2 linked regions of the Oryzias latipes genome follow. The protein of the gene in region 1 purifies or fractionates together with the protein of each later gene. This does not show direct contact. Links are inferred from orthologs where the notes say so. Each region holds a gene or a part of one and is shown in the gene's direction. Other genes may lie near its edges.

Region 1 (15,448 bases):
AGTACTATGGACAGCAAGATATTTAATGAATGCATTGAAGATGAAACTGTATGCACTAAGCTTTAAGCTGAATGTCAAAGAATCAAAGGCAACTCCAAATACCTGAATCTCAGACTCAAATGCAGTATAAGGTCAAACTACTTAATTTTGTTTTTCTTTACAACACTGTAAGCAGTAAGTATTTCTAGTTAGCTGAATGATCTCAGTAATTTAATTGTATTTAATTTTTCAATTATTTAATTTAATTAGGTAACTAAAGTAACTAAAAAGTAAATGTAACTTTGCAACAGTAACAAAAAGCAGAACCTTAAGGCAGTCAGGGCAAAAAAGTCAATAAAACTTCTTAACTATTGATTAGGAACAAATGTGAAATAGCAGTGATTAGAAGCAGCATGAAAACTTCTTAACTAGTGTTTCCTACTACACTGCAGCGCTCTCTTCAAAACATCTGAAACAGACTAGAGCAGATTTAAGTTTGATATGCTCTATTTTTAGTCATTGAAAAGTGTATAAATAAGTGCTAGATGTCACCAGAATGCACCAAATTGCACCATATTAAAATTTTCCAGGGAGGCATGCCCCCGGACCCCCCTAAAGTTGCAAGCACCTGCGGAGCGGCGGGTCTCGCTGTGCGCGGTGTCGGGCCAGTAACTTTCAAAAACTACTGGCCCTGTGGGCCAGTGCAAATTTCTGGGCTATGTCAATCCCTGGAGCAGCAGCCCCTCTCAATCCACTAAAACATTGTGACATCACAAAGTGAGGAACCGCCCCTTCTAGGAAGAGTCTGTGCTGCCAGCCCCGCCCCCATGCTAACACGCATGCCAAACGCTTTCCTTTTATATGAACAATCTGAACATCCATCTTTGGAAAAGTTCAGATGTTTTCGTGGGAGAAACGCAGATGACATCATCTCTATGGATTAGTTTACTCTGAAAGGCTTAAGAAAAGCAGGATATGGACCCTTTTAATTCTTAAAACGTTGACTCAAACTGTACGGAAAGCTGGTATTGGAGACTGAGAGTTCAAATAAGATGTTTTATTACTGCATTTAGGACTGTCCATATGTTTTCCTGGTGCTAGAGGCCAACCATGCTTCCTAAAAAGACTGCATACCAACAAAGCAAATACTTCAGCCTTGTTTGTTTTTGCTATGGAAAAAAAATGTGCTGGCATGACGATAACCGCTGAGATGATCACAAGCGGTTCCCTTTTTCCCTCTCGGCATTTCGGCTGCTGAAGTGGCTTTTTGGCCTCATAAATATAAAGATGGTTAAAAATTGAGAAGCATCATTATTTGTCTTCTTGTTGGAAGGGGTCATTTCTTGGTGAATTTCTTTTCATGAAGCATTTAAATGAAGACGTTTCCCTTCTGCTTCATCTGCTCAAGCCTCGTGCTGCTCTGATGAATAATGGAGGGTGTCGGTCCACTGCCGGTCACGTTCAGTCTGGTGTTTGGTCTCAGTGGGTCAGCAGAGCCCAGCCTTGTTTCCAGCAGAACCCGTCTGAGTCCAACTTAAGAAACCTGAGACAAATTTGCTGTCTGGCTATGGTTCAAGCCTCTTTCTGCTGTGAGGTCACACCAGTCGGGCCATGCTGACAGCGCCATGGGGGCTTGCCGCTCGCCGCCTCTGGCTCCTCTCATAAGCTCTAAACTCATTAAACTCATGTACACCGATACAGTACTGAGCAAAATTCACATGAGAGCCATCACGGCTCACCGCTCCTCCAGGGACCGGCTCACCTCTGCAGGGGGGGTCCAGGGACGCCACCAGAGAGCTTCTACTTTAGACCCAGATGGACACTGGCAGTCTGTGGGCGGAGCCTCACACAAAGATGCTTCTTTGACTGAAAATGATAACTTGATGAAAAGATTTTGAGCTGCTGTCGGTTCACCAGAGAAGGTTATTTAACGCATCTGTCATCAGGCAGTAAGGTGTTTTCTGTGTTTCTGTTGGGTCCTCTCTGCCTGGCTCGGCGTGTTTTTGTGGTCGTCAAAGCCTCAGCAACGATGCTTCCCTTCATTTATTTGTGCAGGAGTCCAGGCACAACCTCACCGTCAATCTGACCACACTTCGAGTGTGGTGCTACTCCTGCAGCAAGGAGGTTTTCCTGGAGCGTAAGCTGGGCCCTCACTCTCCTCATGTGAGCTTCAAACCACTCCCCCCACCGCAGAACGTTCAGGTAACCCCCCCCCCCCCCGTCTCCTGATCAAAGTTCTGTTGGATCCCATTCACAAAACATCCTGTTTATCTTTGCTGATGAGTTGACGTTGGTGACGAATTCTGTGTGCTGGTCTTCAAGGACGCCATGAGGGACTCGGGGAGCCCAACTCCTCTGAGGGTTCCTTCCAGTGGGGGCTGTGAAGATCTGGACATGGACACCGAGGAAGAGGATGACATGCGAGTCAGAGGTGAACTTCAGCAGGCCCCAGCATTACTGACACAGACATTTCTTTTTTTGTTCTGTTTGCAGCATTGCAGATAAATTACAAAACAACACCCAGGAAGCAGTTTATTGCAGCTCAGATGTCGTAATGTGCTGTCAGTTGTTCCCACAGATGTCTAGTAGGACTGGCCTGACCAAGCAGACCGATAATACATTTAAAGTCCCACTCTGCTCATCTCATGATCTATTATCAAAGTGTTCCCGGTGATCTGTTCAGGATGATTACGTTCATTTTAGGCAAAAGCATGACATTAGAATTAGAATTTTACCTCTGAGTTGTGGGTGGGTCCATTGGAGTGGAGCAACCCCGCCCCCCTTTCCCTCTTTTATAGTGTTGCGAAGTGGAGCAGGAAGCCTATTCCCTTCACAAATACTCTCTTTTTCTAACGGCATTTGTGCATCTGCTCCAGATTCACAACAGTTTGATTAAATAAATATCCACAAATTACATTTTAATCTTAAATGTCTTTTTCTAAAACATTGTCACTGGAGTGGGTCTTTAAAGTCAGTGCAGTAGCGGCATTCTGGGAGTGACCCAAGTGAAAGGGCAGGTCACACAGCAGGGCAGAAGTCTGGGGAGATTCTGCCTTTGAATGAAGCAGCAGTTCTTTCTTTGGCTAAGGCTCTACTAAAGCACACAGTCTGCAGAGGAGCTGGGTTGGTGAAACAGCAGCTCATGTGTTGCCTCACCCTTCCTTCAGATTTGCACAAACGCCTTTATCATTGCATCTCTCCGAGGGAGCATTCCATTAGCTCGTAAAAATACTTTTCTTCCGTTTGCTTCTTATCTTCGGCTGTGTCCTCTGTACCCTCTGCAGCCGTGATTAGATTAGACTTTAGATTTTTAGCTTTATCGTTGTCACTAAGTGGTGTGGTGCTCTTCAGTGGATTTATCAGGGCCACTAATGTAAACCGTATTTTCACTTCATGCTGTGAAAAGCTGACAGACTCCACAGATTAGTGGTAGAGCGAAAATGCACAGGGCGGACGATCAGGAGCGCTGCGTCATGGCAAACCTCGCCCGCTTTAGCTGCAGCTAACGCTCTCCTTCCAACCAGTCACATGACGTTAAGATGGGAGATTTTCAACACGTGAAAGATTCAGAGGTTTCAACAGGATACTTTGATTGGTCAGAGATGTATTTGGGTTTTCTTTAGAACCCAGTGACCACAGAAACACAGTCCTAATCATGGCAGACGATGTACAAATTATTTTTGGGGAATTCTCTCTATGCTTCTTTTGTGAAACATGTCATTGTGTATAACCTGTGTGTTAACTCGAGTACTTTAACCACTTTTCAAAAGATAACCTCTTTCCATGTGTTTTTAGCGAAATCCAAACTAGGTCATGCTAACATGGAGACCCTTTAAATATTAAAAAGCCTGTTTGAACTCTGGCTGTGTTGTTTTTTTTTGTCTCCATCAGGCCTGTCGGGGTTGAAGAATATCGGCAACACCTGCTACATGAACGCCGCCCTGCAGGCCCTGTCCAACTGGTGAGCTTTTCCACTCGTCTGCAACCTCTCGGATTCCTTCTTTTTCCCCCGGCGGTACTCCATCCCGTTACTTTGATCCCACCGATCTCACTTTTAACACTTTCCTTTTTTTCTCTGAATCCATTTGCGGTTCTATTCACCGGCTGCCTCTTGCAGGCTGTGAGAAATGACTATCGCTGTGCTCATTTGGGAGAGTGATGGCTGAGAGCGGATTGGTGCACTGCACCATTTGAGACGCCAGAAGTGGACTTTTGTAGTTCCCTGTAGGCTCTACAGTTACAAATCAATGTCAAATCTTTGTCCGTCTCTTTCACGGCGTCTCCTTTTTCCTCCTCCTCTTTCCAGCATCACCTCTTTTTTTTTCCCCTTTCCACCTAATTGGTCATTACTGCAGTAATATTGGCAGTTTAATTCATTTAAAGCCTCTGTATTGTCCTCTATGAAATGTATCACTTCATAAAATAGCTTACTTCTTTCTGTTTAAATTGAACTTTAGCTCTGAGCCCAATCCCTCCATGTTTTAACAGAACTGTGGACACTGCATTCGGTTTAAATGAAACCAGGAAAAAAAAAAGATGTGGGTCAAAATTAGCAATCTAGATTTCCTCCTGGCACGGTGCAGCTGCAGGAGGAGGGACGCTCAGGCTCAGCCAAACCCTCCTTTGATGTCTGTTTGCGGGAACGCTGCAGCCCTCTTACTTTTGCACCGACCTGCAGTTTCAAGGCCTTCCCTCTTGCCAGGGACCGGAGAACCCTCCATGCCTCATTTACTCTGTAATTAATATCTATCTGCTTAATTCCTGTGGATTCTGCCTGCATCAGGAAATGTATTCTGAGCTGGTTTTCTCGTCACTTCAGTGTCTTTCTGCTCTGGTTTGTGTTACTAATAAAAGAAAAAAATCAAATGAAATACACAAACCCAACTTCTTTGTCCATCTTTTATTCATTTTTTCATAAAAATCTAATTTAATATAAAAGAACGGACTTGTCTTTGAGTAACTCTGCCATAGATGTTGTCTAATTTGATTATTTTGTATATTCTGACTGGATATTTTATTTTTTATTTGTGCCTCCTCCCTCATTGCAGTCCGCCCTTGACGCAGTTTTTTCTTGAATGTGGTGGCCTGGTGAAAACAGACAAGAAGCCGGCTCTCTGCAAAAGCTACCAGAAGCTGGTGTCCGACCTGTGGCACAAGAACAGGTACCAATACCAGCCCCTTTATTTCCCTTTGCATGCACATTTTTCAGTTTCGGGGTCCTTCTTATGACTCTCTGAGTCATCTGTGCTGTAGTTTCCCCACCGCTCTTATTCAAGACCGGCTCCGTTTCTTTCACTCCTCAGACCTTCCTATGTTGTTCCAACCACCCTGTTCCAGGGGATCAAAGCCATCAACCCCATGTTTAGAGGCTACTCTCAGCAGGTAGGTCATCCTGGCTGATGAAATGCATTTGCAATATCAGTGTTTTCATTTTCCACAAAACCTTTGGTTACAGTGTACGCAGTTCAGGACATTTTCTGCAGTGTGCTGTGCATCCTAACCTCAAACCACAGTAATCTTCTGTTATGGATGTTTTTGTCTTTCTGATCACGTGCTAAACTGGGGGTTATTTTAAGACCATCCTCATTTCCTAAAATTCTACGCTGTCCCTCATTTTTCCTTGTTTCTAATCACACACTTCTCTTGAATGAAACCCCATTAGTTCTGGCTTAAGTTGCTCAGCAAACAGTGCCTTTAATTCTTAATTTAAAAACCCTTTCATGCCTGTTGAACACCATCCACAAAAAGCTTAAAAGTTCATTTTACTGTTGGAGTTTTTCCGAAACGTTAGACTCGTTGTACCCGGATGGATTCTGGGAAAAGGTTTTGTTTGGCGGAAAAGTGCCCCCATCCTTGTGTTTGTCTGAAGGGGTTAGCTGAGGAATATTCATTTGTTCTGCCACGCTGGGCTGCACAGCCTCAATGCCGTGAAGGAAGTTAACGTTTCAGCTCTTGGGAGACCAGGCTTAATTTGGCTTGAAGGAGGAGATTGGATTTCTGAGGTTCGTTAAGTTTGATTACACATTCATTAGCACGTGGTTTTAGATTTGGCCATGACGAGCTGAGATGAACCAAAATGTAAAGTGATTGTCCTTTTTGATTTGAAAAGAGAGGATTTGTGGAAAACACTTTATTCGGTTTGTCAACGCTGGCATTAAGTTGTATTTAAATGGACATTTTCCTTGCTTCAAATTGAACAGGGTCCAGAATATGCCTGCACAAAAAAAATCGCAAATTTATCGTTATCGCGACAACCAGCTGTGCAATACGCATATCGCAAAAGTCTGCAAAAATTGCAAGTATTTAACGTATGAAATAATTCCCTTTATGCATTTGACCAATCGGGTGGAGCCCTTTGATGTTAGATGACTATGTAGACGAGGGTCATTTGGAGCATAATTTAAGTTATGTTTACTTTTATTTAAGTGAAACTGTTGCAGTGAAATGGAAATAATGTATTTAGTTGTTTTGCTATTTGTTTACGTATCCCAAGTTATATCGTAAATCGCAAGTTGCCCTCATATCGTGCAGCCTTATTCCAGATCCAATTTTTCTAAGTTCTCTCCAAGAAATCAAGATAAACTGTAGTTTCTTTTTTTATTTTCAAACTGGACCTTTAGGACTCGCAGGAGTTTTTGCGTTGCTTGATGGACCAGCTGCACGAGGAACTGAAGGAGCCGATGCCAGAACCAAATGACCTGTCCAACGGCATCGCCATGGGGGACAGCATGGAGGAGGACAACCACACCCAATCAGACAATGACTTTCAGTCATGTGAATCCTGCGGCAGCAGCGACAGAGCCGACAACGAAGTGCAGGGTGGAAATGAGCTCATGGGCGACACCAATGAGGCAGAGATGCTGATTCCTGAGCAAGAGGAGGTCCAGGCCAACAGGGAGTGGCAGAAGGAGAAGAACATGATTAACGACCTCTACCGCTCCGGGGTCAATGTCATCATGAGTGGAAGCACTGGGGTGGACATCGACAGAGATGTTGACACCACGTCTGAGACCAAACCCATTATCAGCAGCCAAGGAGCTATTAAGGTCCAAAGCAGATCATCAGGTGAGGATGAGGCGGAACAATTCAGGAGTCGACCTGCTGTTTTGGTTTATCTTTGTGTGACCTTCTCCAGATCTCCCAGAGTCTCCATCGCACATTATCAAACCGCTCATTAGCTCTTTGTCGAAATCTGCAGAAGCCTGATAATGACCCAGCCTTTTTTAGCCATGTGCGAAAAGAGAGAAACTTGGAAAACAAAAGGCAGGAGCAGAAATGCTGAGCTGAAAAAAGGCAAACTAAAATGGGAGTAAAGAAGAGAAGAAGATCTGAGGATGTGATCTGCACTGCTGAGCTCTCATAAAGAAGCTAATGTGCTGAAATCTGATCCCTTATATGCCTATTAATTCAATTAAAAATTGTACTCTGCTTTAAATATATATTAAAGAGTTCTACTTCATAAAGCATGTGCAGTGAACTTCATGAATGACGACATTCATGATAAAGTCAAGTAAAATCATTGAAAGGATTATTTTTAATTTGTGAACAATCATGTTTAGCATTGAGGTTATGTATGGTTGTTAGGCTGCCTCCGTAGTGCAGACAAACCACAGTCATCCCACAGACATCCTCACAACAGTGCAGTATGTTCACCGATAACCTGACATTCCTGAGCGGCTTCTGGAGCTTTAGATCTCCAAAAGAAAATGAATTAAAACCCGCCTCTCCTCTCGCCAGAATGTTTTCCAGATATCCAGATGTCCAACTCAACAAGACCACAAAGTCCAGTCTCGATGGAGGGACACATTCCCAAACTGTCCAGCAGCCCGCCCAAAGCTGCCTGTGGCTGGCCGAGCCTGAACCCTTCTCACAAGAAAGGTACAAATCCCAGTGTGTTTATGTGTGTGTGTGTGTGTGTGTGTGGCAGAGGCTCAGAGGTGAACCTGAACCCTGCAATCAGTCAAATCTGCATTAAATGCTGGAAACTTAAGGACGGGTAAATGTAACCTCGTGTTCTGTCTTTTTGTCGACTTGCGTGCTAATCTATACATGTTCTCACATTTCTGCCTCTGTCCTCGTCCAGCTGTCACCACATTCTCCCCAACGAAGAGCAAGCGGCAGAAGAAGTACAGAAGTATCATTTCAGACGTCTTCGATGGGACCATCGTGAGCTCGGTTCAGTGCCTCACCTGTGATCGGGTTAGTGTTGTTACATCTCTACAGTCCTGCTGAACTCAAGTCTCAGTCCTGTTTAATGGGAAAGGGTCCGACAGTAGGGTTCTGTAGTTGTTTTCAAAGACTGCTCAATCATACTTGTGAGGTTTTGCTCCAATTGAAAGACTAACCTGTAGGTAAAACATTGCCGTGTGGAAACATCTTAAAGGTGAGGATTCCTAACGCCTTGCTGGCTGTGCGGTTTGTGTTTGTCAGGTGTCTGTGACCCTGGAGAATTTCCAGGATATCTCATTGCCCATTCCGGGAAAGGAAGATCTGGCCAAGCTGCACTCATCCACCCACCAGACCTCGCTGGTAAAAGCTGGCTCCTGTGGGGAGGCGTATGCAGCTCAGGGGTGGATAGCATTTGTCATGGAGTACATCAAAAGGTACGCATGTATGATAGAGGAACACAACCCTGTTCCATCTACAGCATGTCGTTGCTGCTGTTGGGGTAAATAACTCCTCTGTGCTTTTTCTCCAGCTGGTTCTGGGGTCCAGTGGTTACACTACAAGACTGTCTGGCTGCATTCTTTGCCAGAGACGAATTAAAAGGTAATGAAGTGCTGGAACAAATGTCGGTTTTGTCCAACTCAAATCTCTGGATTGATTTATCAATAACTGCATCTTTTTGTTTTCCAGGAGACAATATGTACAGCTGCGAAAAATGCAAAAAGTTAGTAAATGCAAAGCTTCATATTTACACCTCGCTGAACAAGAATTTGCTTCTAATGAAAAACAGCAAAGGATGGATTGAAGTGATTTTTCTCTTCGTTTTCTCCTCTTCAGGTTACGAAACGGAGTCAAATTCTGTAAAATGCAAAAGTTGCCAGAGGTGCGAATCATTTTGGATGTTGAAGCAGTTTTTTTATGGCCCGCAGTTTTTTTAAATCTACGTTGTTTTTTTTTGCTCTGCTGCAGATCCTGTGTATTCATCTGAAGCGGTTCAGACATGAGCTGATGTTCTCCACCAAGATAAGCACCCATGTGTCCTTCCCACTTGAGGGGCTGGACCTGCAGCCCTTTCTGTCCAAAGACAGCTCCGCCCAGACCACCAACTATGACCTGCTGTCCGTCATCTGTCACCACGGCACTGCCAGCAGTGAGTGGGCGCCGTCACTCCCCTTTCTTGGCGGAGAGCGGGGCATTTGCCATCCGTTGGCACAAATGCGCCCTGATGACATTCTTTTACAGGGATGGGTTTGCGGACGCTGCTCTTACTCTTCTCCCTGTCTGATCCCAGGTGGCCACTACATAGCGTACTGCAGGAATGACTCCAACAATCTGTGGTACGAGTTTGACGACCAAAGCGTGACCGAGGTGTCTGAGTCCTGTGTCCAGAACGCTGAAGCCTATGTGCTCTTCTATAAGTAAGCTGACCCCCCAGAATGAATAATTCAGGCTCTCGGTTATGTCTGAGACATTGAAATTCCCCGAGCTTCTTACAGCGGATTAATATATGAACTGTTTCTGTGACAGAAAGAGCAACGGGGACACCGTGAAGGAACGTGGGAGGGTGTCAAACTTATTCAACATGATGGAGCCCAGCCTTCTGCAGTTTTACATCTCTCGCCAGTGGCTGAACAAGTTCAAGACCTTTGCTGAGCCAGGGCCCATTTCCAATGATGACTTCTTGTGTGTGCATGGAGGTGTGTCGGAACTTTCCTTCCAATTGTCTTCTTTGCATTTTGGCAAAATGCAGCCACTGCTTTCATCCTGCTGAGGATTTTTGGTTTTTGACAAATCTTCTGTAACGTTCTCATAGCTTTAGCAGAGGTTCCTTTTTAACACTTGTGACTTATATTTACATTTGACATCTGGTTAGAAACTGCCCGAGTCCACTGTGCAACTTCTTTCACAAAGGTTACAGACAGAACTGAAGGCAAAGAGCAGCCCTGTGACTCCACGGGAACTAGACTTTCTTAATGTTCTCACTCTGGCTTTCCAGGGACCATATGGCCCATGGCAAAAGCTTAATGCCAAAGCACCTCTTAGTTTACAATCCCAGTAAGTGAAGTGAGCCTCCTCCAAGTTTACCCAACACACTTCATCCAGTCACCTCACTCAGTGAAATAACAAGTGTTATTTTTTAAATGATATTAGTGACAAACGACTAGTTCAACTTTTGATGTGAGACGCCATTCTTCCCACTGTTCTCGTGATCAGCAGGTTTGCTAAATCTCTCTCTCTTTTGTCTGATGCCTCGGCAAACCTCTCCACCACATTCAGGCGGAGATTCTTTATGCAGCTAATGCCTTTTTGGTCCAGACCAGGGACAGACGCCACAAAGGGTTTCAAACAGGGAGCTCTGTTTCCGGATAAAAAGGAAAAGAGTCACAGAACTGAAAATGACTGAGCTCTGATGAAAAACGGGAACAGAGAACGGTTCTGCTGAGGCTTTGCTGTAGGACAAAGGATGCTCAGTGCAGTCATACATATAGATTCAAACATAAATATGAATGGTAGCATATGGTTGTGTAGAGGGAAACTAAATGTGTTATTACATTTGCATGTCTCACTTGAAGGGTATTTACTAGGAGGGCACAGTTCTTGGTTTAAAACCAAACCCTGTGTTTGAACCGAATCATGGGGAAGGTTGCATCCCTACATCACTCTGTTTACGTTTAAAATGAGTGTTCTGCTAAATTCTATATATTTTAAGGGCCTGTGTTGTGCTATTCTTGAGCCTTTCTGAGTAAACTATTTCCATATATCTGATGGTATATTACCTTTGGCACACTAAAGAACAATTTTTTAAAAATACAAGTTACTTTTGCAGCTCATTTTCCTACACGGAAGAAAGACGACTCGATCTTTGAGGCTCCGCCTTGCGCTCTTTGTGGGTACCGCCTATTTCATGACGTCAACCTAGAGCCGGCCTTGGCAGCATGTCTGTGTTTCGCACATGAAAACAAACAACATCCAAAATATTTGAAAAGATGCATCTTCATTGAGTGCATATATGATAAGAGCTTGTAGCCAATCACCGCTAGTTCCACTGAGAAAGTGGGCGTGTGTGTTAGCCTGGGGGCGGGGCTGGCAGCGCAGACTCTTCCTGGAAGGGGCGGTTCCTCACTTTGGGATGTCACAATGGAAGAGCCCATTCGTATTTGTGGATTGGGAGGGGCTGCTGCTCAGAGAGCAGATTTTTAGAAGAATACACACAAATGAGTGAATGGATCAAAATACCACTTTGGGGCTGTTTTTGAGAAGAATACACATAACGTTACACTTAAAAGCTCAAAAAAGTTGATTTTACATAATATAGGCCTTTAATATTGTTTTTTTCATTAAACCGGGCTTGGCATGAGCCAACTGAATGGTATTGCATCTTTAATTACTTATTAGCAAAATCATTTTTTGTATTTTATTTTATAGTTGTTTTGTAAAACACTAATCATATATTGAGCCAGATTAAAACTGTGACCCAAACATAGAGGTTTAAACTGAATTTTGGGGAATTGTTGCATTCCTCGTCTAGTCGTCTTTACTAAATGTGTTGTGGAGGAAAGTGAAACGGTTCCTAATGATTGTCGACAGTCGTCATAATTATATCCTGACGTAACAGTTCACCTCTTCGGATCAGATGTCTCTGCTTTGAGTCAGCGTGTCCCGTTTTCAACAGCGTCTCCTTGTTTTTAGGTGTTCCCCCCAACAAGGCGTCGTTCATTGATGACCTGGTAGTGATGCTGCCACAGAACGTGTGGGATCACCTTTACAGCAGGTACGTGCTCAGATGTGTTCAGGTCCAGCAGTTGTAGTGTCATTTAGTCTGTGGGGGTAATTTACGCTGTGTGTGTGTGTTTGTGTCGCTGCATGCAGGTACGGAGGAGGACCTGCTGTCAACCACCTGTACGTTTGCCACACATGCCAGATTGATCTAGAAAAACTAGAAAAGCGCCGGAAGTCCGAGCTGGACCTGTTTGTCCGCGTGAGTATTCCTCCCCTGGTCTTTGAACGTCTGTACTCGCCACTGAGACACGAACCAAAACTGGTGTGAGTTTAAATGCATTGTGTTCCAGCTGGAGCTCATATAAAGCCTGTCCTCCAGTCAGCTCCAGGGGCTGATGGGCTGGATTTGTTGATGTTCTTCAGCTGACAGCAGATGAGATGAGAGGAGTGAAAGAGATGAAAGCCTTATCAAGAATGCACTGAGGCAGATGCAGCAGTTAGTAGCTGCTCAGTGTGCACGCTTACACAGTGGGACAGATGAATGTGTTGTGTATCTGTGAAAGAAAAAGCTTCAATGAGCCCTTGTGCTGTCTTGAGGGGTCCAGATGACCCCACCCTTACATTGACATGCATCCAAGGCACGTAAACGTTGGGAGTGGGGTCCAGATGACCCCACTCCCAACGTTTACGTGCCTCAGATAGCACAAGGGTAAGCTAATGCACAGAAACAGGAAGAGAGACTGTATCAGTGGCATACTGGCTGTCCTCTAATTGAAATGACTTGATTTGCTTTTTCACGTCGTTCGTCTCTTCGTCCCTTCATCCTCACCTAATTTTGTTTTGCCTCCCGTCTTCTTTCTCTGCCCCTCGTCCCTTTACGCCTTTATTCCCTCCTCGTGTCTGCCGCTCACTCCTCCCCCACTTCCTCTCTCCCCTCCTCCCTTTTGCTCCCTCTTCCAGCTGAATAAGGCGTTCCAGGAGGAGGAGTCTCCGGTGGTCATATACTGCATCAGCATGCAGTGGTTCCGCGAGTGGGAGGGCTTTGTCAAGGGAAAAGACAATGGTAATTAAAGCCTTCCCTCCCCCCTGTCATGTTTAAAGTTGCCCCCCAGAAATGGGATGTACGGTGATGAACATTAGACCACTAAAAGAAACGGATGATGTGTTCATGCCATAATGTGGAAAACCTGCTTTTTAAAATAGAATGTGAATGGATTTTTGGGTTAAAAGAAACTGTAAAGACCCCTCTTTGTCTTCAAAAACCCTGCGACTGTCTCATTTGTCTCTTCTGCTACAGCTTTGTTTCCTTTCAATTGTCAGTTCAATTTATGCATCTTGAAACAAATGTTCAGACATTGCTCCTCTGCAGTTTGTTTCTCATCTTTCTTGTAAAAGAGAAGCATGAAGTGTTTTCCAGCAGGACAGGAATTCTGTGGGCTAATTCCCATTTCTAAACAATTTCCCAATGAGTACATGAGACCTGCTGCATACATGTCTGGACAGCTAACACGTGTTTTTCTTTCAGACATACCAGGACCCATCGATAATTCCAAGATAACGGCAAATAAGAATGGACATCTGACGCTCAGACAAGGTAAAAGGACTTTGGTCTAAGGCTTTTAAGCGACCGTGCTTCTCTCTGCCCTCCAAACACAGGATAAGCATGGTGTTAAAGCTGCTCGTATTTTGACTAGTAGGTGTTGCTTCTGCAGGTGCAGACTCTGGACAGATCTCCGAAGAGACTTGGAACTTCCTCCACTCCATCTACGGAGGAGGCCCACTGGTGACATTTCGACCGAACGTCAATCACCAGGAAACGGAGCCGTCGCAGTCGGAGGAGAAGATTGAGCTGGAGACGCGCTCTATTTAACCAAACACTTCACAATAAACAATGAAAAAATCGTTTTAGAATAAAAGTAAGCCTTTTTTTTCTTTTGCACTGGACATTTATTCAAGCAAAGGACCCTATTTGTACCGCTAACCGACAGTCTGAAGGCATGCTGAGGTCTGCTATGCTGTAATAATCTGTATAAAGAGCTCTTGAACTTCTCTTGGCACTGTTGATTTCATGTGATTGTTTTTTCACTGCGATTCATGTAATTTATGAGCAGCTAAAAGTTCCTCAGAATGCCATTTTTTTTCTTGATTTAATGAGCACAAATTGTATGTCCGTAGGTATTGCTGTTGTTAAATACACTCTGTAAATAGATCACATTTTCTTTCCTGTTGTACAAAAAGTATTGTCCCCTGAACGGCATTAATTGCAAAATGTGAGACTGTGTGTGATGACTATGTAAAAGGTTATGAAGGGACTAATTTCTGACTAGTCTCAGGAAAGACTTTTGTTTTGCACTGTTCTGTAGACGTACTCATGATTTGTATGTGAATGTATCAGTACTCCTAGGATGTTGGCTCAGTTCAGCACTTGCTTATTCATCACTAAGAAGGTTGCTTTATTATGTATTTTTGTATTTGAAGGCCCACTGCAGTTAAAGCATGCTTAACACTCAAAATGTGCATGCTTCACTTCTGGACAGCTATGGAAATGCCATTGTAGCACCCAATCATCATCCATTCATTATTAATTAAAGGCATTATTTTTTTGCTATGGGCATAGTGTTGCTTCATCCACTGAATGCTGCTCTCCAAGTTTTTGCTAATAAAGTGAGGTCTCCCTTTATTTCTGCTGGCGGACACTATTAAAACTTGAATCGATGCTGAGCACTGCCCTCGTTGGCGTGATACTTCTTGGACTGTTTGCGGGATAAACGCCGACAAACGAGGGGCGCGCTACGTTCGGAGAGCGCGCGCTCACCCGCCGCGGAAAGGGAATTCGGGGGATTTCTGTCGACGGCTCGGACTCTGCGGGAGCAGAGAACTGACGGGATGGCGTCGCACGATCGGGAGAGCGGCTGAGTCGCTTCACACACACCCCGACTAGTTGACTGGATTGAAAACATGGCTGCGGCCGAACGTGCAGCGAATTTACGGAAGTGAGGTATGGCTGATTCTTAAGCTTCAAAAAGCTGTTTAGAACTAGACTTCCAGCCGGGTCCTTTTTAGTTGAAGAAATTCCCAAACTTTGATGTCTTCTTACACTAAAAGTGTGTGTGGTCGTAATTGTGGGCTTCACAGTTGCACATCGGCAAAGTTATGCGCGGAACAATCAGCTAGCTTGGCTAGCTAATGCTGGGCTGTTGCAGCTAGCCGCTGGGGCTAACTGAGTAACTACTGCCGCTGGACCGCTAACCATGCTACTGCAGCGGGATGTTTATCATCGGCCAAACCCGGTTGGTAGAAATTTTTTCCAGCCATTTGTGTTTTTCGTGAAGCTAGGATTTATACCAGTTGTGGGTGCTAGCTAGCATGTGACTGCTGCCACTGGTGGAGGCAACTCGACCGTCAACTAATCAAATCAACACGATTCAGTTAGAAGAAAACTAGCCAGTGTGATGTTAGCCAACTTGACTAGTCGATCAGAACAGAAAAATAACCAAGCAGGTTGAAGTCTGTGTTGTAGTTGAATGGAATTTATGAGGTAGCCTGATTTTTTTTTTGTTTTTGTTTTGTGTTGAACGCAACA
Region 2 (15,448 bases), on another chromosome or scaffold:
GTTTAGGATCATTACAATGCACTCACTTTTGTGTGACTGGAGACATAAGCATGCTTTACTGTATATACATTATATATGTACATACTTCAAAGTTACACATGAATAAAACATGTCTTAAAAAAATCAAACCAGTTGCACGTTTTGCCGCAGAAGTTGCCAAGTCTTGCAGAGAAAAGTTGAGCGGTATTTAAACTGCGTCCACTGACTTACAGGGCCGTTTAGCCTGCAAATGAGCTTCATGCGATGTGGCAGCTCAGTTTCAAAATGCCTCATTTGCGTATTTCAGCCACATCTCCATTTTTCACAGACTCTTTTGGGCAGTTTGTGTCTCCTCTTCAAAGACATCCATCACAGAGATGAAAGCCATCCTACGGCTGATATCCTCAGATTTGTTTGAGCATCAAGGGAAGAGATTCAGAGATAAGACGATTGTGCCGTTTGTTGGCACAATCTCTCTATAAAGAGGAAGTTTGGCAGGAGCTGTGTGCGTGTTCTCAAATTTCTTTTGCCTAACTCCAAACTTTACAAAGTGAATGTGTTTTTGAAGCAGTGTGTTATCTTAAGACCTCAATTTGGTGCTTTGGTGTCACTCTTTGCTATTTAACCCTTGTGCTATCCTAGGCACTTTAACATTGGGAGTTGGGTCATCTAGACCCACTAAACAGTGCGCTGAACCTTTTTTCTTCAATGATTTGTGATCTTCACTGGTGTCCATGGATTACATGAAATCTTTCCACCTTTATCCACCTTTGTCATGGTAGGGAGAATACGTCAATGTAAGGGTGGGATCATCTAAGGCAGCAAGAGGGTTACAAAAAAATGTATATATATGGATAGAGGACTGTTAGCTGGAACATAAAAAAATCATATTAATAAATCATGTTCCTTCTCCTTTTTTCCACAGTGCCATCGTTTACCTTCACGCCAACAGGTAAGCAGCTAGTTGTGTGGTTTTTCATTTTCTCACTCCAGCAGCAGCCACTTCATTTAATTGGTCTTCCAATGCTCTCCCACACAGACCTCTTAGTATCTAAATCTGAATAGATTCAATAAAGATTAACCGACTGAAGTCAGCGATGGACACTTGTTGCTGCCAGTAAAGGAGGACAATCATGTGTGCAGTTACTTGGAAATAAATGCTTCGCAAGTGTTTCCGTCACGTCAGAACTCAGTGTTCTGTGATTAAAAGGCCACGCTACCAAGAGACTAATAAAACAAGTAGGAACTTGATCAAAGACTTGCTGGCAACTTCAAATGGGATTATAGAGAAAGACGCTCCACCAACAATCCTAATTAGATAGGGGCAGAGCTAAGAGGGTTATCTGTGAACCGGAGACACACTAGAATAGAGGAAAAAAGTTTTATTTATGTTTTAAGTTTGAGTTAGTCTTTTTTTCTCTTTTTCTTTCCATTCTGGATGAATAGATTCTCACTTAAAACTGTTACAGCTCAGCGAGTGTCAATGAAGATGCTCTTTTCTTTGAGCTTGACGCACATAAACTGAGTAATTTTTGCATATGCAGACTTGTTTTATGATCTGCTGGAAATTTTTCTTGTCACGTACTGTTTTTATTAGTTTTGTTTGTTACCTTGGGAAGATCTTCCCCACCATCATTTGAAAAATGGATTTGGCCTTGCATGATGTCGATTTTAAACTAGAGGTGGATTGATACAACCCCTGGGTACTTCAAGATCCACGCCGACCATCTTTTGATCTATTTTTAAAGTGTTCCCAATGGTCATTTAAATATGTTTATGCTGTTTCTAGGCGAAAGCAAATAAAAACTAGTGTAGATTTCTAAGACAATTTCTGTAGAAATTTGCCTCTGAGTGGTGGGCGGGGGACCGTTGTCGCAGAGCCTGCCAACAGTTTCCATCATCTATCTGTTGAGACTCCCCCGTTACCTTACAACCTCACAACCTCAACTTAACATTGCCAGTGCAAAAAAAATGGCGAGCAGTATTGGTTTGTTTGCTTCTTATTCAAAACGATTTGGATAAAGAAATACTCAAAAATGCAATTTTAAGCTTAATTTTTTTTATATATGTCCTCCATAATCACAAAAATGCATGCTAAAAACACCAAAAACACAATTTTTATTGGACTGAGTCTTTAAACACAGAAACCAGACTACACTTCCTGTTTTGAGGAATGGACAGGGAAGAAACATGCCTAATTTCCTTCCCCCACCTGGTCTTCTTATAGGGTAAAGATTGTAATTAAAGTAGGAAGTTTATCTCGCCTTCACACACCAGCAGCTTAAAGCTCCTTGAAAGAGTTAAACTTGCAGCGTGCAGAGCTTCAAACACCAAGTACCCGAGCCAGAAGACCAAAGAGCTCTACATCTTTGTTCTTCGTAAGCCTCTTATGTATCCTCCTGTTTCTCCTTCTCCTGTTGCTTATGTGTGTGTGTGACTCAGCTGAAATTATGCCACATAAATGTTTTTGCATGTTTACCTGAACAGACTGGAAAACTGCATTGTGTCAGTTGTCATGTCGGCCTATATTAGGTCAAAGGATTCATGTGCTTTTGACCGAAAATGGGACAGATTTTGAAATTTCATTGCTGCCTATTTGTTTCAGTGGCGTATCAGAGAGGCGGAGAGGGTGTCACCAGTGCTGGAAGGTGAGAGCCTCTTTTGTTTTGTTTTTTAAATAGAGCGTTTTCCTAAAAGTATTTGAATCCTTACTATTTATAACATTTTTTTAAAGAATATTCATCATAATAAGCTTTGTTTAAAAAAAAAAAAAAGTTTACCATCCTTTAAGGCATGAACAGGGTTGGGCTTGTGTGTTTTCCTTAAGCAAACACTAGGGGGAGAGCTGTGCCTTTCGAAAGCAGCACAGAGCAGAGAGAAAGTAAGGTGCTCACATGAAATAACACTACAGGAACAAAGACCCATGCAGTTTGTCAGGAGCCCATCCTCATCCCACACGTTGGGGGATCCACATTCAACCACCAGGCTGTGCCATAGCATCATCATCAAACATTAATGGAGCTGTATCCACTTAGCAGTTAAAACGCACCTCTTGGTACACTGGAATGGTGCTTTGTGCATAAACAGTAAGACTGCATAATTCGACTTGCCGAAACTAATTTGTAGATTTACTAGCTGGCCTTGGTATGTTATTATTTGTAGGTAAACAAAAGAATTGTCTATTTTTTTTTTCTTGCCTATGGTATAGAATGTGCTTAAAGCTGCACTGTGAGTGTGTTTGAGTGTTCTGCACATGCTAATGAATAGTTTAGCTTGAAGCCATCAACAGTAAATCCATATTCATTATATTACCCCGTTGTGGATTGAGTTCGGTGTGCAGCAACGGCTGTGTCAGCGCTGCGCAAAAACAATGGAGGTTCGATATCAACATACAAGTGGCGGGGTGATTGAGGAGATATTGTGCGACTGTATTTGGCTGTAAAAGACAAATGCCTTCATTACCCCAAATGAATCCAAGAAATGAGTCATTTAGGATGGAATGAGGAAATGCAATTCAGTGCTGGGATATGCAGACCGGGAGTCATTTTGTGCAAATTTGAATACCAAAACAATATATGGCCATGTAAGAGAATATTGGCTTCTGTTTTTATGCCTCATTTATTCAGTTCGATCAGCAAAAACAGGCCGTTTTGTTCTCCTTTTCCACCCGCTGTTTGATGTAAGGTCAGGTTGTGTCATGGAATCCCTATAAATAAATAATCTGCTTTGTTATTAACTGTATTCTGCTGAAGCTTAAAGAAATAAAATATGTGATGATGTGAAACTGTTCAGATGGGTTTACACAAGTTATCCTTTGCTGTTTTCCATCTTTAAAGACCTTTTGAAACTAATAATGGTTGATGCTCTGGAATTTACTCTGGGAACACAGGAGTGAATTTTATTTGTCTGTCTAATCCAGACAGATTGCTAATACTCACGATGTCTCAGAAAAAGTGTCAAAGGCTGTGGGGGCAGATTGAGCACACACACTGTCTATTTAACTGGGTTTTATTTCTCCCTTTCCCAGCATCTGGCCAAAAGGAAAAAAGTACTAAACCAGGATTTTCGGTTTTCCTCTCCACAGCGGGATAAATAAACTCCTAATCCTCCCCTTTGAAACTCTTTATTCCTACTGGTGTTTTACTCCATTGACATGGATCTTGTTGTGTTGTAAGCTTACTTTCTTCCTTTCTGTTAACCATTTGGGACTGATGTTTTTACAGACCCGGTTTGCTAAACATTGGGGAATCTGCCACTCAGCCCTGGCTGGCTGACACATGGCCCAACTCCTGCTCCAACCACAATGACTGCAGCATCAACTGCTGCACTGCAGGCAACGGAAACAGCGACAGCAACTTGGCGACGTACAGCCGACCAGGTATGTGCAGGAGGTGTCATCTCTGTCATACAGGGATCGACCAAAATAAGCACTTCTCTCAAAGGCTGTGTTGCAGTCCTTGACAAAATAACTGCAGAGATAAGGAAGGTGGGAGCCAGGGGAGTCTGCAGTATAAAAGACAGTACAATCTGATTTCTAGGTTAGCTCCCCAGAGAGTTGTTGTATGTGTCTCTCCTTTCTATAGGTCTCCTGAAGAAGAACCTGGAGACTTATTAGGATTAGGAGCAACTCTGTGCTCACGTGTTTGATTTATCTGAGGTTAAAGCAGAGCTGTTTTAGGCAGGAAATAACCGGAGTACACTGAGCAGGGCTTATAGCTCTACTCTGTTGCTAATCAAATTGCTTTGCTGATTTCCATACAGTTGTTATAGCCAGTAATGTAATTTCCCCTAAGTGCTCAGTTGTTTAAGAATTGTGCAGCGGGCGAAGAGGTCAAGGCTGGTCTGTAGACGACGGCCAGAAGCAGGGCAAAGAGAAAAGGATGGAAGAAGAAGGATGTAACTGGAGGAGCAGATAAAAATGGAGAGAAAAGAGTGAAGGATAAGTACATGCTTAAGCAGATACTAAGATTCGTGGACAGAAGTAGGGAATGTGAATGAGATTAGGTTGAATAGATTTGGCGGCACACTTGAGCTCATTTAAAAAGAGGCTGATGTGGCCTAAAATTTGGACATGCTGCAGCTATACATTAGTCTAAATATAGAGACTTCTTTCCTGAAATTCAGCCTGGAAAACCAACAACAACCTTCACCATGGAAAGTTGGACTGCCAAGAAATGCTTTATGTTCTAAATTGTGCACGGTGGGGCCCTGCTTTTGATGGCGGCACATAATTCCTGTCCAGCTGTTCAGCCTAATATCCAACCAACCACTCAGTAGTTTCTCCTGGCTTCAAACCTCTGCCAGTGAGGATTAATAATTCATTCTGCAGGTTTTCTAGTCAAGTTTAGTTTTTCTTGGTGCTAATCACCCCTCTGAGGTTGAACACGATGAGATGTTTAACAGGCAATAACAGGCTAAAGGCAGTCTTCACTTCTTGCATGACACTTCCCTGTATAACGCTAAGGAGCTTGCCGGTCGCATGCTTTGTGTGTGTGCCAAAACTAAACTCTATGAACATTAAGAGGATCACTGACTAGGTGACAGAGCAAAGAAATAGGAGTTAATGTCCCTTTATCTCAGCCATAGGGGTGCTTTCACACATCGGCCTTTGAAGTGTTGAGCTGAAATGTGAGGCGCCTGGCACGAGCGGCTTGTACCTATGGCCGTCTTTGGTATTTACCACGAGGTTGGCTCTCAGATCTGCTGGAGGATTTGAATATTTTATGAGCCAAGGAAAACTGGATCTGTCAGCGAAGTCTTGCTTTTACTGCATGTCTCATTCCATGTCTTTGATACAGACATGTCTCTCTGTCCCTTTCAATGAGGATGCTTATACCATCAAAAAAAAAAAAAAAACGAGATGACACCCGCTCTGAGTCATCAGTTAGGCAGAGAATAGACCGGGAAAGGTGTAACGCCACCTTAATACACTTTGAATTGTAGGGTCAGATAAATATTTGGCAAACAGTGCAAAGTCTTAAATTATAGACAGACAAGCTTCTCTGTTAAGATGTGATCTAAAAAAAAAAAATGTTTTTATTTCAATCTTCTACCTGACTGGTTTGCTCCCGCAAAGCTGATGTGCTGCAGAAAAGACTGACTGAATCCCCTCCTCATGTTCTCCAGCGGACTGTATCGCCAATTATAACAGCCAGATGGAAAACAAGCAGACCAACCTCTTGGTACCAGACACAGGAGTTTATGGAGATGTGGACCTGTCCAATAAGATCAATGAGATGAAGACCTTCAACAGCCCAAACCTCAAAGATGGACGCTTTGTAGGTCCTGGCGGTCAGCCGACACCTTATGCCACCACCCAGCTCATCCAGTCCTCCATCCTGGGCAACAACATGAATCCAGACAGAGGGACCGGAGGGAGTGGAGGTGGACTTGGGGGAGGAGGGGAAATGAATGAGAAACACTGCTGGAAACCTGTCTCAATACAGCAGCAGAAACAGGAAATGGGCTCCCAGCTGCAGTACAGCATTATGGAGCAAAACCGACTAAACAAGGGTGAGTGTGAGGAAAACCCAGCAGCGGTTGCACAGGTTAACTCTCAGCCATTATCTTCCTCCTCTTCAATTTTCCCTCCTGTTCTGTCCTCTCTTGGCTCTTTCGGCCTCACCGTGGAAGAGTTCATGCTCATTGGTTCTATGTCAACCTTTTCAGTCACATCTAGGCATTTTTGTGTCTCCCTGCTTGTCTGTAACCATGTAACCATTCATCACTTTCTATGCTACCTATGGTCATTAAATATAGACCAGGCTGTCATCCTGTGGTATGTGGCATTGTGATGAAGGCAGGTGTGAGGGGAGACCTGTGGCATCAGATTTCTATAGAAAAAGGCAACAATGACTGATTCTACCATAACCTATACGTGCATGTGTAGTAGAACATGTGGCTTCAAAGTTTTTGTGCAGATGCTGCATGTTTCAGTTTCACGCACTTACCTAAAATGACAATTTGCATGTGCAGTTACTTAATTAATAGTCTCATAATCCAAACACGATTTAAGGCTCAACTCCTCAAGATTTATGCCTGCTGTGACAACGCGCTACACTGTCCCACCAACAGATCGCTATAGAGGAGGTGACAGTCCCATGCCAGCCACCATCCCCTACAACCAGACCCATGAAAGCCACACTGGGGGGTCCTACAACAGCTCTGACAGAGGCAGCAGCAGCACGTCAGGTACAAGGCTGTTTTAAAGTCCAAACATAGAAAAAAATCCATATAAAATTGGATTTTTGTTTGATTGGTTATGTTTTTGGCTCCTTTTGAAGTGCAAAATGTTTTCATCTTCCTGCTGTAATGGAAATATAATCACATTCTCTGATTTTAAAATTCTTGTTTATCTCTAAAAGGCAATAAATCATTGTTGAAACACTAATAAGATTTGGTTTAGGTCTTAATCTGATTGACTTCCAAGTCAAACAGAAAACAAGTTGCTCAGTTCTCGTATTTTTTCCTTTCAATGTGCCTTGTTGTTCTAGGCTAAACAAAATAAATTAGATACAAGTATCTGTTTTCTATCATTTCTGCTCCTCTTTTGTTGTTTTGCTTTGTATTTACATCACTTTTGTTGTGTGTTCATTAATTCAGTTAAATGGTTTTACTTGAAATCAGTGTGGATCTGCATAATTTCATCAGGACTTCAGTGTCTGTCGGTGGACAAGGACAAATGACTACACATCCTGGGCGGCATGCAACGCTGCCACCTTAATGCCACGTATCCATTCTGATATTGCACTTGAAATTCAAGCCATTAAGATGAGGCCTTTAGTTCTCGCTGCACATCACAGCTCATTGGTTTACAGTTTTAGTGGGCTAGCTTTAATTAAACGCTTTTTTCCACAGTTTTCATTCTGCAGTATTTTCCACCATTTAATATTTGCAAAGGTGTGAACGCTGACATAAAATAAGCATTTTGCCACTGTTGTTCATTTTATCCACTGTAAGCTTCTTTTATGTGTTTTTTTTTTCTTGCATCAATAATTGATTTGTTTATTTACTTTATTATTTGCATCTGAAGTAATCCTGGGATTAAGCTTTCCTTTTTTTTCCCCATTTGTTGAGCAGGTAGTCAGGGTCATAAGAAAGGAGTGCGCACCCCCAAACTACCCAAACAAAGCACAATGAATTGGGCTGACCTTCTGCCTCCCCCTCCTGCAAACCCACCCCCGAGTCGGAGCACAGAGGAGTACTCTCTGTCGATGGATGAAAGGTAGACAAAGGCAGTCTGAGCACACAATGCATTTGAATACTGGTCCAGTTTCATCAATTCTTTGGTATCCATTCCAAGTATTTGCTCCAGGTGTTGTCTGTGCTGGGTCCATGTCAAACCTTGATCGAAGGATGAATATTTATTGCATGCTTTTCTGGCTTCAAGGAATAAAGGCCTTTCCCAGCATGTTACGATGCTAACGAAGCTTGTTTGTGTCTGCTGGCAGCTGTGATCCGGACATGCAGTGCCCCATGCCCCCATCTCACATGTACCTGCAGCCCGATGAGCTGGAGGAAGAGGAGGAGATGGAAAGAGGGCCCACTCCTCCAATCCGTGGGGCGGCCTCTTCCCCAGCTGCAGTGTCCTACAGTCACCAGTCCACTGCCACTCTTACCCCTTCACCCCAGGAAGAGATGCAACCAATGCTCCAGGATGCTCAGGACAGCCACGAACGCCGGTACACCTGTAGTATTTCATCTCATAACAAGTCTGTAATGACAAACCATCACATATTCTTATTTTGAGTCTTACAGAAAAGCACACGTGTGTTAATTTTGAATTACAGTTTTATCTTCCTGGGAGTCATTTGCTATATTAGAGTCAGTACAAGGTGGCAGCTGAAATAAGTCTACAGTAAATGTCTAAATGCCCTTAAAGACCCACTCCAATATGGCATTTTTTCTCAAGATGATAAAGAAAATTAAACGTCTTTCAAATTGTTGTGAATCAGGAGCAGAAGAAAAAAAGCAGTTTGAAAAAGCTTGTAGTAGTGACTTAGAAGGTACATTCGGTTGGTCACAAGCTCCCTGCTCTGCTCCAGTCTGATGCATTCACTTGTAGACGACTAGATCCATGTGCGTCTTGTTTTCCTCCGGCATCTGGCTTAAAACTGTACTGTACGTCTGGATAACTCCAATATTGTTTGCCATTTTTGTTGCACCAGTAATGTTATGTTAGGGTTGTGAGGGGCTGTAGTGGGAGAGGGTGTAAACAGATAGATGGAAAATGAGGGAGGGTTTACAGGGCACCTACAGTTCCGCCTACAACTAAGAGGCAAATTTCCAATGAAATACTTCCGCTCTGCAGAAACTACGTTCTAGAAAACAACACAGGACTTGCTAAAATTTACATAATCATAATTAAAAGACCACTGGAAACACTTTTAAAACCAATCAGAAGATGATTGGAGTGGGACTTTAAAATCATTTATGTCAGAGATGAGACCATATAGAAGCCTGGAACTGTGTGTCGTGTTGGGTATTTGACCGTAGCATTAAATCCTAAAAGTCAATCATGTACTAACGTTGAGAGAAAGAAGTACCTGACAAACCCATTTAGATCAGTTTAAGCAGCTATGATCTGGGTCCTTTTGACCGAGCACTGATCAGTTTATTTGTTTATACATGTTTTTTATTAAAATTGATTTGAAATATTATACTTCTCTTGATAAAATGCACTTCTTTTAGGCGCCATGTTGTGAGCCCCCCACCACCTCCAAGACCACTCTCCCCCTCACACACGTACGGGTTCATCAGCAGCCCGTTGGGGTTGGACACTGATGGAATGGAGGAGGAGGGTATAATGGAAGAAGACGAAGAGGATGGTGATGAGACAGACGCTGAAGTAGCCAAGATGCACTTCCATCACACACACCCCCACCACCCTCAAATGCACGCACGAAGGTTGTTACTACGAGGGCTTGAACAGACACCAGCATCCAGCATGGGTGATCTGGAGAGCTCAGTGACCGGCTCCATGATCAACGGGTGGGGCTCGGCCTCTGAGGAGGACAATGTTTCGTCAGGGAGGTCCAGCGCTGTTAGCTCCTCAGACGGATCCTTCTTCACAGATGCCGATTTTGCTCAAGCGGTTGTTGCTGCTGCAGAGTATTCAGGCCTCAGGGTGGGAAAGCACCCAAATTCACAAGGCCAGGAAGCAGGAGGAGCTCCAGGTACCATCAGTTCATTAGCAGCCTTTAGTGGAAGAAATTTCTTGAACAGCATAAACAAACGACTGTCTTGTCTCTTTCCTCAGCGCCAAAATACCAAATAAGCCAGTCAAGTCACCGTCCCAGCAGCCCGGTGTCTACAGACAGTAATATGAGCATGGCTGCTATACAAAGGAGGCCTCCAAAAAAGCTAAAACAGCACTCTGCGGGTCACCTAGGGAACCAACGACGTGAGGCCTTCAGTGAAGGTACACATATGCTTTCATGTGTTATAAGCTCAGTTTGAGTTCATGTTTTATGTAGATTAAATTTGTGAGAAAAGATGAAAAATTCTATAAACTAAAATTGCAAATCCACAACTCTTGACTTTTGTGGGAGTTCTAGTCTAATCTTTAAGGGCTTTTTTTTTTCTTTTCTTTACAGGATGGCATAAAGACCCTTTCCAAAAGTGTATTTATTTCCATAATTACATAAAAAAAAGTACTTTAATAAAACATATATATATATATATATATATATATATATATATATATATATATATATATATATATATATATATATATATATCCAGGGATTACTTCTTTTAATTTGATTTCAAGTATTATTTTTACATAAATAAGAGTTTCAGCTCATAAAAGCCACAAAAATAGGATTTCAAAAATGTTTATTGTGGATAAATCACCATTTACCTTTTTTAAAGGCAGAAATTATGATTACATCAAAGTTATCAAAACAAAGTATTTTCAATATGACATGTCCATCTTCAGTACCTCAGTAGTATGGGCAGGGGCCAGGGTCTCGTATCCAGGTCCTCCTTCTCCTTGACCAGTATAGATGTTTCCCTGTTGGCCCAGGCTCAGATATTACCAGAGGAACCCGACAACTGTAGCCCATCTCCCGAATATGTCTGAAAGCGGTGGTTTTTGAAGCTGTCCCTCCACTCATTCCACTTTTTCCTTTTGATAATCGGTTGAAGTCCACCGTCGTTTCTTTTGTTGGTCCATCTTCTCCTCCTCGACCTGCTTGAACACAGCGCTTTGTGAACAGCCAGCCTCCTTAGCTATGAACTCTTGTGGCTTACCCAAACTATGTAGCGGATCAATGATGGTCTTCTGGTTAGTTGTCAAATCTGAAGTCTTCCCCATATTGAACCGAACTGAACCAATTTAATGACATCTGGGGAACTTGTGCAGGTGCTTTGAGTTCAGTAGATGGTTAGTTTGTGAATTTCATTTATCCTACAAAATTTGGGCAGATTTCTCCAAATTATTGTACTTTTTGAAATCTTTTTTTTTTTTTTTTTGTGGGTTTTATGAGCTGGAACCCCAATTTAAGTAATATTAAACTGGGGTTAGTAGTATATTCCACAAAAGTTTAGTTGAATGAATAACACTTTTCTATAATATTCCAATTTTTTGGAAAAGGGCTGTACATTTTTTTTCAAACAAGTTTTTTATCGGGCTATTAAATAAATAGATGCACAAGCAGCTGCATCCTGTTAACTCACATATAACCGGTTTGTGTCAGTGGCTCCTGTACAGAGATGTAAGGATAAAAATATGTTAACTGGGATATAGTGTTTGTAAATTTCCAGGTATAGGTGTGCAGCAAAGCAACCTCATGCATATGTGGCAGATTTTTTGATCTCTATTATTACTAAACAGACGAGCAAATTGTGGGCAGCAGGCCAGGGGTTATAGGGAAATCATGGAAGAGGAGCTTTGGAAGGAGAGTTCTGCTTAGTTTGGCAATGTTGGCACGTGAATGTTTCTTCACTTTGAACTTGAACTTAGATAAACTAGGATGAATACTTCAGCTCTTAGCACAATAAAAAACTTCAAAGTTCTAAAGTAACAGAGCAATTGATTTTTTGTAGTAACGATTTTGAAAAATAAAAAGGAAAGAACAGTACAATAAAAAAGGCCAAGTTGTAAATGGAAATGAATATTCTTCCCGTTTCTTGTCTTCTTTCTTAAATGTATCTGTGTGCGATTGTGCAGCATCTATCTATACGACATGCCGCCCTGGAGCTGGCTCTGCTCTTAGTGTCAGGTGTCCTTGAGTGTTGGATGCACTTGACAGGGAGATTTAATATCCAGCTCACTGGGAGCCAGACCAGCTATATCACTGCAGAATATCCTGCCACCAACCCCCCCCCCCCCCCCCCCCCCCACACACACACACACACACACATACACACACTCACACACCACCACCACGCCTCCTTACATCCTGGCTTCCTCCCCATCCTCTGCCCCTCCCTTTGGAGTGATCTCTCCATCCTACCCTCCTCTCACCTCGCGTTGTCTGCTGTCTTTGTTTGAGTTGGGAGGGGGGGCAGAGTGACAGCTCCTCAGTTCTGTCTATCAGTGCTCCTGCTGATTGTATTTGATCTGAATGGATTGTTTTTCATTTGGAGTTTATTGCCTCACTACCCCCCCCCCCCCCCCCCCAAACCTACCGCCCTGTTTGTCCTGCCTGTGGTCTGGAATAATGTCGTTTAGGTGAGAGGTGAGGAAAGGTGATCGAATGACATTTAGAACAAAGGCAGGGCCACAAAGGCTGTGTTCTGTGGATGCACGATTGACTTGCTCTTTTGGACGTCTTTCAATTCTTGCTTCGGCACCTTTACCAAAAATGTTCGCGCATCGAGAGTTAAAATGCAGAAAGCAGGAAAACAAATAAACAAGCAGGAGAGATAACCAATCTACCCCTACATGCCAACCTTCCTTCTTCCCTACTGCTTACCCCTCCTTGACCTAGTCATTTAATTTGTCTTTGCACAGTGGATGGTGAAATACCCCTGTTATATTCCCCCTATGATTCATACAGTGTTTGACTTGGATGCCTTCGTCTACCCACTCCTCTGAACGTAACCCTTTCCTGTCTCTTCTGATCTGTCTCAACCCTGTCTGCTTAATTAACCAGCAAGCCCTGAGATCCATCCTCCTTGGCAAACTCAGAGACACTTTTCAGACCTGAGTTCTGTCCTCGCCGATATTTCCTCGTAAATCTAATAGGCGCGCTGCTCCTCCTGTGTAGGGAGCTGTAGCTCACAAACTGTGGCATTGATCTGACTCTGACTGAGGCAGAAGTCAGGAGGCAAGACGGATAATAAAAAAAAAAAAAAAATCTACAGGCGCCTCTTTACTCTATGATATTGACCGCCCCCCTTTTGTATTCAGGGAGAGTGGGTGGAGGATAATCAGAAAGGTGCACTGAAGCTGTCCGTTTCTGCCAGCAAGAGCAAAGCAAAGACATCACCTGCCTCATCCGCCTTCTGCGGATAAGAAACAAACAAAAAAAACAGCTTTGATTCCCTCAGTCCAGTTCAGTTTTGCACACTCTTCTAACTCGATGCAGGCAAAGTCAAAAAGTTGCCAGTCCACATTCATCTTTAAATCATGCATGGTTTAAGGGTGTGCCAACAAAACTATCCTTCGGGTTGGAAGCTGATTAGAAGATGAGAAGCCATCGATCGAAGGCCGACAAGGCTTTTTGCTCACGTTCTGTTTAGATGCCTCTGTGATGTGTGAGAGGCCATGCGGCCCACTGCCTGCTCTCATGTGAATAATGGCTCAAGGACAAGTAGCATTGATTCATCGACAGGGGAAGTCGAGCAGGACAGAGAGCCAGCTGCTGAGCGCCACGCTCCTCCTCCTTCCTTCTTGTTTCTTGCTCAAATCTCGTAACCTTGACAATTTTGGGCCTCTCTCATGTGAAGGGTTTCGTTTTCAGTCTGCTTGGAGAAATGTTGAAAACTGTGTCTGTGAATAACATTGCAGATGTGAGACAACTGAGAAAAATGTAGTTCACACAAAACATTTAGATGGGTGAGGTTAACATTTCTTGCTTCCTGTTATCCACCAGATCTGCCACCCCCGCCCATTCCTCCTCCAGCAGTGCTCAAGTCCCCCACACATCCGTCCAAAGCAGCTCTGGAGGGCAGAGGAATCATATCCCCAAAAGCCGGTGATGTTCGTGACAAGCGAAGAGGACCTGGTGGCTACAGACCCCAAGAAAGCTTTGAGACCAGACCCAGCTCGTCTGAGCGCAAAGACGGCCAGGACAGACAAAAGTCTGCTCTGGGAGGGAAAGGCAGTAAAACTGAGAGTGGCTCAGGCATCAAATCACGGCAGCATCCAGGTACTACCGTTTCCCAATTAAAGCAGTCCTCTATAGTCATCTCCAGTGTTTTGACTCCTAAGTCTTACATTTTTGTCTCGCTCCCAAGGATCAGAAGACATCCTACCCTACAGCCGGCCCCAGTTCCCTGGCGTCAACAGTCCCAGAGATCCAAGTTCCTCCAGTTCTATGTCATCCAGGGGTTCTGGGGGCCGACGGAGAGAAGGAAGCCGAAGAAATCCTGCAGAAATGGGTCTTAACAGCTCTGGAGCCTTTCACCCAGGAGATGATGAACTAGAGGTGCAAGCTTATAATTAAAAAACCTTTAGACTTTTAGCATATGCTGTTCACACTGGAGTGTTGCTTCTCGAAACTATGCGCATGTACTTCAATTATCGAGCAGGCGTGGTGCACAATGTCGAAGCGGTGCAAATCTGATAAATCTTGCTTCAGGCTTTTTCTTTCACAGCTCTATAGTCCAGCATATGAAATACTTGGAGTCATAACATTCCGTCCAGGCGCAAACCGCAATTATTAATTTCTCCTCCATGATAAAATCTCAGACGATTGGCAGTTCCGCGAACTGGACACCGCCCATACGTCACTACTAATTATTGTTTTATTTTAAAATTGAATCCCTGGCCCCCTGATTGGTCAATCTTCAACTGGTTACACTTTCAATGCCGGGTCAGTGGCAAAGCGTTTTGTACGTAAAGCCTGATAACAGACTTAAAAGGTTGCGTAGCAACGCACAAACAAAAGAGTTTTTACCACGGCGGCCTTAAGGGCACTTACGCATGTTTACTTAGACTTTTCATTTGAATTACTCTCCTGTACGCGTGTTGCCAGTGTGAACATAGCATTTAACATTTAAATATGATTTTTTATTTAATCCAAAAAGGTTAACAAATAATATTTTGATGATAAAATAAACATTTTTTTTTTACTAAACCAATTACAGTTATGATGGTAATTTTTGTTTTATTTGTTTCACTATAAACATAAAAGAATAAAACATAGGACATACTGGATTATAGTAAATGTATTTATCATTATTGCAATTTCACAATGAATAATGATCTTGCAGTCGCTTAAGGAAATAAAATGAATAAACTCATACATATGATTGAGTGTAATCATGTTAGATTGACCACAGTTTAAACTGATATGGA

The links.
Region 2: the proteins of usp33 (region 1) and robo1 purify together in Homo sapiens (affinity purification with western blotting; 5 studies listed by BioGRID and IntAct, with this or other methods). This does not show direct contact. The link is inferred for Oryzias latipes from reciprocal best matches to the Homo sapiens genes USP33 and ROBO1.

Annotation. Positions count from the first base shown.
Region 1 is NC_019875.2:4,217,748-4,233,195, reverse strand, and holds the end of usp33 (ubiquitin carboxyl-terminal hydrolase 33), read left to right. Parts: intron 1-2,034; coding exon 2,035-2,181; intron 2,182-2,301; coding exon 2,302-2,410; intron 2,411-3,870; coding exon 3,871-3,940; intron 3,941-5,027; coding exon 5,028-5,141; intron 5,142-5,282; coding exon 5,283-5,361; intron 5,362-6,599; coding exon 6,600-7,044; intron 7,045-7,716; coding exon 7,717-7,857; intron 7,858-8,062; coding exon 8,063-8,178; intron 8,179-8,409; coding exon 8,410-8,582; intron 8,583-8,677; coding exon 8,678-8,748; intron 8,749-8,835; coding exon 8,836-8,869; intron 8,870-8,982; coding exon 8,983-9,028; intron 9,029-9,114; coding exon 9,115-9,295; intron 9,296-9,436; coding exon 9,437-9,563; intron 9,564-9,672; coding exon 9,673-9,842; intron 9,843-11,835; coding exon 11,836-11,917; intron 11,918-12,015; coding exon 12,016-12,124; intron 12,125-12,825; coding exon 12,826-12,928; intron 12,929-13,390; coding exon 13,391-13,459; intron 13,460-13,577; coding exon 13,578-13,735; and 2 more. UniProt on the Homo sapiens protein: Deubiquitinating enzyme involved in various processes such as centrosome duplication, cellular migration and beta-2 adrenergic receptor/ADRB2 recycling.
Region 2 is NC_019871.2:9,338,921-9,354,368, reverse strand, and holds part of robo1 (roundabout homolog 1), read left to right. Parts: intron 1-904; coding exon 905-931; intron 932-2,584; coding exon 2,585-2,627; intron 2,628-4,202; coding exon 4,203-4,357; intron 4,358-6,105; coding exon 6,106-6,492; intron 6,493-7,053; coding exon 7,054-7,170; intron 7,171-8,058; coding exon 8,059-8,203; intron 8,204-8,429; coding exon 8,430-8,660; intron 8,661-9,669; coding exon 9,670-10,154; intron 10,155-10,237; coding exon 10,238-10,399; intron 10,400-14,021; coding exon 14,022-14,297; intron 14,298-14,385; coding exon 14,386-14,576; intron 14,577-15,448. UniProt on the Homo sapiens protein: Receptor for SLIT1 and SLIT2 that mediates cellular responses to molecular guidance cues in cellular migration, including axonal navigation at the ventral midline of the neural tube and projection of axons to different regions during neuronal development.